3 linked regions of the Danio rerio genome follow. The protein of the gene in region 1 interacts with the protein of each later gene in a biochemical or structural test. Links are inferred from orthologs where the notes say so. Each region holds a gene or a part of one and is shown in the gene's direction. Other genes may lie near its edges.

What was found.
Region 2: the proteins of xpo1b (region 1) and ranbp1 form a complex in vitro, tested with the Homo sapiens proteins (3 studies listed by BioGRID, with this or other methods). The link is inferred for Danio rerio from reciprocal best matches to the Homo sapiens genes XPO1 and RANBP1.
Region 3: the proteins of xpo1b (region 1) and adar form a complex in vitro, tested with the Homo sapiens proteins (2 studies listed by BioGRID, with this or other methods). The link is inferred for Danio rerio from reciprocal best matches to the Homo sapiens genes XPO1 and ADAR.

What each region holds. Positions count from the first base shown.
Region 1 is NC_133192.1:25,319,469-25,323,123, forward strand, and holds part of xpo1b (exportin-1), read left to right. Parts: intron 1-1,132; coding exon 1,133-1,234; intron 1,235-1,880; exon of another isoform or gene 1,881-1,955; intron 1,956-2,145; exon of another isoform or gene 2,146-2,212; intron 2,213-3,655. UniProt on the Homo sapiens protein: Mediates the nuclear export of cellular proteins (cargos) bearing a leucine-rich nuclear export signal (NES) and of RNAs.
Region 2 is NC_133180.1:19,738,218-19,742,648, reverse strand, and holds the start of ranbp1 (ran-specific GTPase-activating protein), read left to right. Parts: upstream 1-1,523; 5' UTR 1,524-1,679; coding exon 1,680-1,694; intron 1,695-2,889; coding exon 2,890-3,026; intron 3,027-4,431. UniProt on the Homo sapiens protein: Plays a role in RAN-dependent nucleocytoplasmic transport. Alleviates the TNPO1-dependent inhibition of RAN GTPase activity and mediates the dissociation of RAN from proteins involved in transport into the nucleus.
Region 3 is NC_133191.1:24,822,292-24,826,605, forward strand, and holds the start of adar (double-stranded RNA-specific adenosine deaminase), read left to right. Parts: upstream 1-1,406; 5' UTR 1,407-1,492; intron 1,493-2,795; exon of another isoform or gene 2,796-3,620; intron 3,621-4,314. UniProt on the Homo sapiens protein: Catalyzes the hydrolytic deamination of adenosine to inosine in double-stranded RNA (dsRNA) referred to as A-to-I RNA editing.

The sequences.
Region 1 (3,655 bases):
CTTTCCCTACCATGTGTTGAGTTACGTGACCCCGCTTGTTCAAGGCCAATTTATCCTATTATATTCCATTTTATACTTCTGCCAAGGGCACATACAGTCCAGCAAAGCGTTCACATACCTGCACACTTCTCAAAAAAATGTAATTGCGCGTCACAACGACACGTTGCACAAGCTTTGTGATTGGTCAGTTTGGTAGAGGTGACGTGGGTGCGCGGCGTGGAGAGCCGCGTTTTAGGCACTGTTTGTCTTTATCTCAGTTGTTCAATATTGATGTTCAATAAATAATCATAGACAGTAGATAGTGTGTGTTTCCTTTAATTTTAATCAAGTAATGCACAATCAAAAATCTCTCACTTGTAATATGTGAGCACATTTACTGTACAAAACTTGTCAGTGAACTATGAGGGCAAAAACATAAAACAAATAAATTAAACAATCTTTCATTAATCGTAATCGAGTTAAAATGTTTAATTAATCGAGATTTAGGTTTTAGGACAAATCGTTCAGGCCTAGTTCATGCAGAAAACGGTAGTAAATCTGCACCTGCCTTTGCATTGATTTGCTCACTGATGTATTCTGCATTGTTCTCTATCTGTTGAGTGACAGTATGTTTTATATATATATATATATATATATATATATATATATATATATATATATATATATATATATATATATATATATATATATATATATATAACAGATTCATTTACAACATTAAATTTGAGTTTACTTTTGTGTAGCTTAACAATACAACAAACAAATGAAAAATTTTGTTTAATTGGATTAAATTGAATTAATTTATTTTTATTAGTTATTTAAAATCCTTAGGGTTTGCAGAAATTATGTATTTTTACATGAGGAACCTTACTGTGACATTCTGTTACCACTGAAAATATTCTTCTTTCGTTTAAATTCAAAATGCATCTTAGAAATAAATTGTACTCAAAAATAATATAAAAAGTTGGCAGCTTTTTACAATTGTACAAATATATATATGTCACTTTTTAAATGGCAGTGTTTGTTTATTTACTATATACATTAGTGAATGCACTGACATCATTAACACTCAGCCAGTATATTGTTGCACCATAGTGTTATACAAGTTAAGATGAATGTTTTTTTGTTTCAGCAAAGAATGGCCCAGGAGGTGCTGACTCATTTGAAGGAGCACCCAGATGCGTGGACACGAGTCGACACCATTCTAGAGTTCTCTCAAAACATGAACACCAAAGTAAGCAGAGACCCAACTTGCTCCAGTTGGTGGGTCATGGTTTCTATACTTTGAGGAAGATCTGATCTCTTATCACACATCATACAAAATCACAATTTGGTTTTTGGCTCTTTCTTTCGAACCAGGAAGGTTGCCTTATGTAAGCAAGACCCTTTTTTAAGCGTACTGGGGTTGCTTAGCATCAAGTCAGAAACAGATTCCTTTGTGCACATGTGAGATCACATTTTCCTTCACTCTCCTCGCATTCGTTTCCTGGTCAAGAAAAGTCAGAGTTAAAGTTGATGTGTGAGGATCCTCTGTTGACGGTGAAATGCCTCAGTACCTCCATCTGTACAGCAGCCAGAGGTGCTTTGATGACTGACTGTTTGAGGTCAGGATGTATTAAAACAGTGATCCATGAATTCTTATTTTATCATTTTTATATAAAGGAAAGCAGAGGATCCATGTACAATTTCTGGTTTTACAAGTAAACATTTCTGCACTGATAAAACCTTAAGTCTTTTTTGTATTTGGGATGAATGGTTTTCCTCACTGTGTTAATAGACTTCCTCAAAGTACTGCTGACCCAGTTTGCCGTCTGCTTGCCTTTTTAAGATTGCTCTTAACACTCTGGTCATTACTAATGTTTGAGTTGATTTATCAACAGTATCGATAATATCAAAATGATAATGGCCCAAAAGTGAGGCCTCTAGAGGAACAGACAGGAAAAAATACAGAGCAGGTAAATTCTTTGAATTTGTCTAAATTGATCAAGAAAAATACAGAACGAGCGCTTTAAAGTGCTGTTGAACATTTGGCTTTTTGCTTAATTTATTTTACAGTCGGTGAAAAAGCAAACAAATTCAATTAATTGAAGTTGTTCATATTTGATATTAATCACAATGTTCCATTATGTTGATTGCTTGTAATAGGACGAAAAGGGGTGTGTCTTCCTGTGCACCTTGACACAGCTAGGCTTTGGCGGCAGGCCTCCACAAGGTCTACCTTTTCATTCCCTTACTCTCAATTCTGCTGTGCCTCCATTCACACTGCACATGCCTCATATGGAGCTGAGAGACGACAGGGAGATAGGCAGGCAGTTTACCCCATTTTTATTTCTACCCCAATCATGGGTGGTTACAGCTATTTTCACTGTAGGGATTATCAGTGTCTGTGCTGTGCAATCCGTTTTCTCCCTAAGCATTTCTGCATTTCTATCCTGGCCCTGTAATTTTTCTCCCAATCATGCACCAAGAAATGTTGCAACATCACATGTGAGCAGTCAAAATATAATACTTTGCATGCTGTTGCAATGTTAATATTTATTTGAATTCTTGGGACAATTAAAGGTGAACGCCTACTGGTGATTTTCATTGGGTGAAATACTGGGTTTCTGTGGGGTCTTAAAATCTTACATCTCAATTTACTGAAATATTATGTTGTAGGTCTTAAATGTTTTTTAAACAGGTCTTAATTTTTCTTTGTTCATATATTGCTACCCAATCTAGCCAAAACCCATACAATCACTAAGAATCCATCTCAGTAAAACTTTAAACTCTTTATAGAGGTCATTTTTAACTCTATTTATCATAATGGTTTAATAATTTTTTTTACAATAACATTTGTTTAAAATTCTTCATGTATTTTCTGCTGATGACACCGACCTGGACTGTTGGAATGTTGCGCATAGATTAAGTTTATAATTTGTTTTTAAAACTTTAAAGCTTTTGTTCATTTATTTTTTTTAAAAGAAAGTTTATGTTGGAAAAAAAGTGTATGGAAAGTAGAGCTTGCTTGTTTTTACACAATATTTAAATTATTTAGCTAAGAAATAAAATCTAATTTATTTCATTGTTTATTATTAATGTTATTTATTATTGTATTATTAAATGTATTAAATTATAATATGTTTTTTTTAATAGGTCAAATAAAAATATTTTTAATCTGGGCCATTTGAAAAAAGCCTAAGTCTTTAGCCCATTTTTGAGTTTCATTGATAATGGTCTTAAAAATGTCGTAAGTCTTAAATTTAACTTGGTGAAACCTGCAGAAACCCTGAAATCTTTGCATATGCAAGTAACCTATTTCTCCAGGCCTTCAACCTTTAATATCCTTCTGTCATCAGTATTTTCTGTTTTCCTTTAACACATTAACATTTTTGTCTCACGTTTTTTGCCTCTTCTTATTAATCCCTACAGTCGAAATGCTGATGATCCTAATAACACTAGTGACCATAACAAGGACACTAATGCACCATGAATACTTTCTTAAAAGCAGCATGTAAAACATTTTAAGGTAGTTTTATAGATCCAAACCTGTGGCTCGTCTTGCTGTTTTTGAGACCCACACCAGTTATTGGTGGAAACAGTAGTGTCACTTTAAGACAGAAAGGGATGTGGTCAGTAGTCGACCAATGAGAAAACGTATCGCTGACGTTTAAAG
Region 2 (4,431 bases), on another chromosome or scaffold:
AGATACTTTCTTTTTTTTTCTTTTTTTTTCTTTTTTTTGCAGTAGCCCGTTTAATACATATCTCAGATATTTTGCTTTTCAGCAGTTTCACAGAAGAAATAATGAAATGAAAATAAAAAAAAACGTTAACATAGGAGATGACTTAGCACATTTTTGTTTATGTATATGACATTTTGCCAATAGAGGTTATCAAAAAAAATCCAGATCTTTATTAGATTTGTTTTTGTAATATGAAAAAATATCAATGTTTTATTGTATCATAATTATCAAACATTGTCTAAAGGCATATTTTGCTAGGCACACCTATATTCAACATTCAAAAATTAAGTTACATTCAAACAGGTCTAAATGTGAGATGCTCTATCCGCTTTACAGAAGCAGCACATATCATCCATATCGATCTTATTCACATGGGTAAACTGTATGTAGGATTCTGAAGTAATTTTATTTGATTTTATTGTTGTTACAGTATTTAACAGAACTTTTTTTTCTTTTTTCTTTTTTTCTATTATATGCGTTAAACAACAAATATGTGACAGTATAGTAAAATAATGCCAGGGTGATAGAAAGTAAATAATAACAACAATACACACACAAAATAGACACTCTATCTTGTTCATTTTTTGAAATGACAACACCTAAATAGTTAACAGCTTCTTCAACTGGTATACCTTCTACAGATAATAGGGGAGAATTTTTATATTTCACAATTTATGAGGAGATTAGGTGCAAACATCAGGCATTAGAGAACAACTGAATAGATTTGATAACCTGATGAACCTGGTTTGAGTCTTTTACAAATAAGGCTGTATCGTCTGCTTACTGACTAATTAAAACATTTCGTCTAGCAATTTGGATTCTAGTGACAGAAGGCTTGGGCTACTATGAGAAACAGGTACACAGAGGCTGGACAGCCTTGCCGAATTCCTCTTTCTAATAGAAATCTCTGTGTAGTTCAATGTCCTCATTTCACTGAGCTATTTCCCCCGTCATACAGCGTACTCATCCCCTTACAAAAGAAGGGCCCAAAACCGAATTTCTCTAAACATGTATTTAACAGCACTTTTTATTTATTTATTAAAGAATGCTAATATTCAACCACAATCAGGAGACTGATATGAGAGAGATACAAAGGAGAGAAAAAAATACAAACTACCTAAGCTGAAGAAAGAAAAAAGAATAACAAAACAAAGTAAATTACAATTGTAAAAAAAGTGTATGAAAATAAATTAAGAGCATTAGGAAAGCTATCTAACTCAACGCAGAGTCAATAGACAACAGTTCTTCATATAGAACCAGTAATTTGACACATTTTTTGTTTTGACACATACGGAAAGATTTGAGCAGTGAGTTACCTTCAATCAGAAAATGTCCAAAAGTAGGGACTGAAGCCATGCACTTTTGCTTATGTTTAAAAAAATCTAAACAAGATAAAAAAGTTAAAGATAAATTCTTTAGATTTATGTGAAGATTCTGAGTGATAACAAATAATTTCTTTTAGGATTTAACAGAACTTTGTGCGTAGCTGAAGTGCGCCATGACGTAGCGCGGCTGCGCTGACGTCACCGTCTCTCTTCTCCGGTTATGCGCGCGCGAAAGTAGCGAAGTGAAATCTCACGAGCTCGCACTGATCAAAACCAACAGATACTCTCTCTAATCGAAAAACATCTGCAAAAACCATGGCGGACACAAAGGTAAGAGGGCCATCATCTTCAGCCTCTGTGTCTTTCGAACAGCGAGAGATGCTTATTTTGGTTGTTTTGTTGGCGATAAATGTTTTATGAGGGTCTTACTTAACAGACTGTAAAAAGCAGGTGTTTTCCCGGTTTTGCATTGTGCGCTTGGATATTCAGACGTTAGAACTTCTTGGTGTCATTTTAAATACTCACTATTGCTTTTTCATACGCTGTCAAAGTCGTTTGTTTATTTACAATCACGCTTTACATTCAGTAGCACCAGTAACGTTATTAAAATTCATTATTCTGTGTCGATTAGCACTCGCTACTTGCTTAAACACAAAGGACAAGCAAATATTGATTTTTAGGAACGTAATAAACATATTCCTCGCATGCTCCAAGTAAAAACGGCTCATACTTTAATTCGAAAGCTTGAAATGCTAACGCACTGTTAGCTTGTGTGTTAGCACTGCTAACCTGCGGCACGTGAAGTTCAAACCCGGTTTATCAACACTCTTCCGGGGTTAATTACGTGATTTAACTGTATTTGCTCAAGCAGTGCAAAATATGGGCTGCGAAACTACGAGTCGAGCACTTAAACGCCTTTAGGCCGCTTATTAGCAGCTTCTAGCTTGGATGCTAACTTAACTGACTGACCACTTTTGAAAACTCGTTTAACTCCCACATTAATTCATACACATCTGATATCCGGTCTTCAGTCAAGTCAGTCGTTTAGCTAAGTAAGCTGCTCAGCTCTGAAAATGCGAAGTGATCAACTTGGGAGCGGTTCAGAGCATCACATCATGTGCAGAAGATCTGCCAGAGTTGATCAGAAAGCTTTTCAATAATTAAAGCTTACAAGGCCTTCATGAATGTGAGACCAGTGATTAGTGAAGAGCAAGTGCATTGATTCCGCCAGCATCACAGCATGCGAGTTCAAGCACCAGTGGATGCAAGTTTGGTTGCAGCAGCAAATTTGGAGACAATAGGCCAAACTCCAGAGAATGATCCCTCCAAATCCCGCAGCCTTTCACTCCACTGATCTGATGAGTAATGTGGAAGCAGGATCCCCACAGAAGGGATCAGGACTTGTGAGCCTCAGCAGAACAAATACTGTAGTAAATGTGTGGCGTTCTCCAAAAATACCTGTTTTAGCTTATGTCATGTTTAAGTTTGATTTAATAAAAGCTGCTCTTTTAATTTTCCCCTCCAGGAGGCACAAGATGAGCATGAACCATCCACTGAGAACGTTGAGGAATCCAACCATGACCCTCATTTTGAGCCCATCGTCTCACTACCCGAGCAGGACGTTAAGACCTTAGAAGAGGATGAGGAGGAGCTTTTCAAGATGTAAGTCATTAACTGAGGTTTATATTAGGGCTGCACAGTAGATGATTTCAGCATTGATATCGCAATGTGAGTCCACAACAGTCTCATCACAGGGATCTGCAATGTAGTTGATCAGACAATACGGTTAACAACATAGTGGCGTTGTTTAAAAATTTTAACCTTCGAATGAAAATGTATTATTTGCATTTGTTTTTAAGACTTGACTGTAGGAATTTGAAGCAAATATAAGCCATTTTGGCACAATACATTAAACGTTTGTAGCTTAAAGACTGATTGGACATTATGTAGTTATTTACTCAATTAAAATGATAGTGTTGTTGTTATACAGTGATCATTTAATTTCGGCTTCTGAATACTGTTTGACTCCCCAGAAAATTATAAATCCTCGTTTGTTTGCATCTTTTCTCTGTTGTATTTAACTTTGCTTGTAATTTTTTTAAATTATATTTTATGCAGATATGCTCCCTTACAGAATCATCCCAGTCGATCTAAAATTGAGTTCTTTACAAGCTATTTGTCATCTGCTGAAATTTATTTAAATTATATAAATTTATATTCATTTATATCGCAGTGAATAAAAATATTTCAATGTCTATTTTTTTTATAGTATCGTGGAGCCCTAGTTTTTTAATATATTAAAAAATAAATAAATAAAAAATCCCATGTAACTGCATTCTAAGAGCACTTTATATCACACTAGCTGTTTCCATCCACTTATTTTTATGCGCATTATGGATATGCTCATAAAAAACTGGTTGATGGAAACGCCAAAATGTGTATAAAAACTTATGCGCATAACTGTAGGATAAACTTTTTATTCGATATAAAAAGATGCGCATAAACTGATGGAAACGCTTTTAACGAATATATTTCAGTATATGCATTAAAGTCATATGATTTTGTTATAAGAGATCATGTGATGATAAAAATATGTGAATGAATAAACCAGCTGGCTGAGCACCCTGTGAACATCTGACATGTTGTTTAGGTGATTCTAAAACGGCTTAACTATTTCAATATTATTGTTATTATATTATTAATAACCTCCAGAATCAAGAGCATCTGTGCTCCGCATCTTATGCCTTCTAATGTCACTACTCGTTCACTGCGTGTCAGGATTGCCTTCTGAGGCGCAAGTCATTTATTAAATGAAGAAAAGATTCACGCAGCTTCTTCTACCACAGCCAATTCAGTTTCTACTGTTGCCACCATATAATTAGTAAGTGACGATTTTGTTTGCTTTGACTTGTTGGATGGAAACTGTTTTATTCACACATCTTTTATGCAATATTCCAGTTTTGTGCATTATTAATTAGCATTCTTTATAAAAACATAGCTACTTATGCATGCACTAAAAAGTTTTTTTATTTGCTTTTTTTAAAAACTGTTTGATGACAGCTTAAAG
Region 3 (4,314 bases), on another chromosome or scaffold:
GCAACTGAAAATTGTAGGTTTGAGTGTAAATTTCTATGCATTCAAGACATAATTGTTAACATGTAATGTGCATTCTTCATTGTACAGATTATCTTAATTTTTTATTTATTTATTGAAAATAATGCTATATATTACACTTTTACACTTAAAAAAATCTATTTAGGTCTAATAAATTATTTATTTATTGTAAAAATGTGTTTAAAATTATAATTTTATTCAGTCAAGATGTGTTTGTCCAAACATAGGTTTGTTTACTTTATAAAAACACACCTTTTCAGCTTTATTAGCATTATTATTTGGATAACACTTTACAGTAGTCATGAATAATGCTGTGTTAATATGTTAGCTAAACATTACTTTATTATGAACTAATGATGAGTTAATGCGTGCACTTATCATGAGCTAACTTTAACTACATGAGTCACAAGAATTCATGTGTAAATAACGGCTACCTTAATTACTTGTTAGTTTACGATTGTTTAATTAACATATTAATTACACTTTCATGTAAGCTTAATTTAGCCGTCATGAACTCATGATATTGACGTATAATTATATCATGACTTTACTTGAAGGGGCACATCATCATTAACCCATTCTTAACTACTCATAAACTCCCTATGCTTATCTGTCTAGTGTGTTTACCCTGAATAACAATAGAAAAGCATTCTGTCAACATCAACACGAACAGTTTAAATACAGGAGTTCATGAGTAATTAAGGATGAGTTAATGATAATGTACCCATTCAAGTAAAGTCATGACACAATTATACATTAACAGCTCATGAGATCATATTGGTTAAATTTAGCTTAAACTTAAATGTTAAATAATAAATTCATTAACAACATGTACAAACAACTAAAGTAGCCATTATTCACATATGAACTCATGCGACTCATGTTGTATTTAAAGTTATGATTAGTGAATGCCTTAATCACTAATTCACAATAAAGTAATGTTTAATTTACATATAGACGCATCTTTATTCATGTACTGTTGTTGTAAAGTGTTACCGTTGTTTATTTGTTTATCTATCTATCAATAAAAAATGTTCTTAATAATATTTAATGAATGTTACACATATGTATTTACAACAGTTTGGCACTACACTACTATAATTTTCTACAGAGCCCCTAGCACTCCCCTGCTCCCCCTAAAATGGCTTGAAAAAATATATAAACATACTTACATTCATCGTTTTTTTTACTAGGTATAGTTTACAACGATGGATATTAACTAAATACATATACCAAATACCTCACATCAAACAACGCTCTAAACAAAGAGAAGTCTGTTTCTTTTCAGCACTGACCTATCGTGCTTCCATGATCACATTGCGGTTTCTTGCGACGTCGCACACGTCATCAGAGAGCGTCAAAACAGCGTCGCAGCTCCGCGCCACACTTCATTGTCATTCAGCAGCGTTGTGTTTTCTATCTGCATGTGGCCTCTGGCAGGGACGCGGCTGGATTGTGCTCGTCGTCTGCGTATGTAAGTATATTTACGCCATACTAACGCCCCCCAGCTGCGAGTTATTAACAATATTTATGCAGAACTGGATGTGTGCGAAGTGAGAGAAAGACGCTTGGAAGCTGCTCGTTCCCGTTCTGTTTACCATTGACGTCGCGTTCTGCGCTCGCTCCCCCATCTCTAGTCTTGTGTCTGTTTATCATGCTGAATGTTTACAAGTGCACTACAGAGTAGAAAATGATTTGTTGCTGACTGTAATTGTTTATTTGTATTGTGGTATGTCGAAATAAATTGGGGCTAACGTTAGTCAACCTCCAGTGTCCTTGCTAACCACTTCTTTTTTGTTAATTGAAATGGCTCAAGATGATTATGCTAGTGGCTGGTTTATAAAGAACAAAAATAGTGCTGTGATATTATCATAGTCTTGGGGTTTACTTTATTTTAAATGCATGAATGTTTTTATTTAAAGCTTAAATTACTTAAATTCTACTTCAACAATAATAAAAAATACTACGTTGTGATCTAATGTAACTTAACCACTATTTTAGCAGCTTTTATGATGAATGCAGTCTAAAGTATCTTTAGTCAATGACTAAATACATGCATTTATAACAGTAAACCAACAAGTAACGTTACCATTCTGTCGTCTAATAATCATTTTTACCATTAGTTTAATACTGGATATTATATGTATTGGTCTAATTCATAGACTTAATGTTATAAATAGCATATACTTAACAATTATATATATATATATATATATATATATATATATATATATATATATATATATATATATATATATATATATCAGTCTTGTTTTGTTTGCACATACTTAACGTAAACTGATTAATAACTAGTTACAATCCCTAAATCTACAACTGATCCTAGCCTTAACCCTTATCTAAAAATATAGTCTAATTGTTTATACCTTACACCGAAAGTATACTTTAAATACACTAAAAGACATAAAGTTCACCCATGTACATTACATTATTGGTTCAATAATTCGCATTACGTGACAGCGTCTCCTTGTATGGCGCATATAATGTGCATTGAGGGAGAAATAATGAAGATGTCACTTCTATCAATAATAGATTAAATCGAGCATTAAAGAATAATGATACGACGAAAACAGCCATAATGTCTATACGATGATGTGTCTTTTAAAGCTCTGAGCTAAAAAGTTGCAACTTTGCGCGACTGTGTGGATAAACTGGGTTATGAAGCGCCCGAGGGAGACGTGTGTCCGTACGTGACCCGTATTCTTTCGGACTTTTTTTTTTTGGTGAAGTAGAGGCGCGCGCGTCCCCAGATCCTTTTCACCGTCGCGCGCTTTTGAAGATGTTGTTTTGCCTCTTCAGTCTTCGGTAGGAGGTTATAAACTGCAGTGCAGTTTCATGTCGGTCACGGTACTGTAACCTCATGTATTATGCATCTGGGAGGGTCGCAGGTGGAGGTTTGCTTTCAGTCTGCTGGCTGGTGAAATGTGAAACGAAACCAATAGTTCAGCGGCTATGATAAAATGAGTAGTGCGATGCAATATTAATATATCTTGCTGTTAACTGATATTCAGCAATATGGATACAGTAGTCCTGTGTGATTTTGTATGTTTATTATACTACATTTTTGCATTTATTTCACCGTGGGGTGACTTCTTTCAACTTATCTGCGTTTTAATCCTAATTAATATATTAGCATTAGTAGTAATTGCATGGTGTAATTACTGTTTGTAAAGCTGTAATATGTTGATTATTCACTCCAGACAGGGCGCCCCCTGCTGCCAGCGTGTGTAAACGCGTCTTGTAAGTGAGTGTCAGACAGAAATTGAAGAGTTTGGAGGAGAATGGAAAGCGAAACCTAAAGCGATTGTGACTAGTTCGCGACATTGCGCGTGTTCTCTCGTTTAAATTCACTGCTGACATCATTTTGCCCACTCGCTTTCAAAACAAAGTAATTGTAGACTCGTTTTAGAGTTTGTGCAGCTGAACTTTTTCCAAATGCAAACGGAGACAGCGTGTTGTTGGAGTGTGATCTTTCTACTTCATTTTCACTCTTCCTGCGGAACAGTGTTTAGTCTGTGCACGAGTCTGGGCCTCAGCTGCTTAATCTGTCAAATTCAGCTGTTTTATCCTCCGTTGTTTTTGCGGTACGTATAACTTAATATGATTTATCGTGTTGGGTTTATCTATTATTATTATTATTTTTACTTGTATAGTGTATGTTCTAAGTTATGCTCTAAGCCTGAAGCTGTGCTGTAATCCGAATTCAAACTTTAAATCAGTGATGCATGTGATGAATAAAGGGGCTAAGCTGGCTGTATGTTATCATACACATCCTATTTTTGTGATATTCTAAATTTGTTCCCACACTAAAACTATGCTAAATATATCAGATAATTTTAAAATGATTAGTTTCAGAACAATTTCAAAGCTACAGAAATGTATAATTAAATAATCCTACGTGTCGGATATGTGCACTTGAATTTCCTATAATAATAATAATAATAATTTGTATTATTATTATGTGAATTTAATCTGTAGCACATCAAACAAATGTAAATTTCATTGTTGCATTAGTGTAGCGAAATCTAGAAAATTTTTATTAGTTGTTGATATATTAGTTGTTGATATAACATTACATGCATCCGTTCCTGTTTTATGAACCATAATCATTTAGCACTATTTTAATAGTAAATAATTTGCAAACAAAATTCTTATTTTTTTAGCTAGTAGTTTTTAAAACAATTTTATTTGAATGACTAATTGGCTAAACTTTCAATTCCTAGAAAGGCTTTTTTACCCTAGTTTATCTTATTTGTTTGATGTGTTTGTTGCTCACTT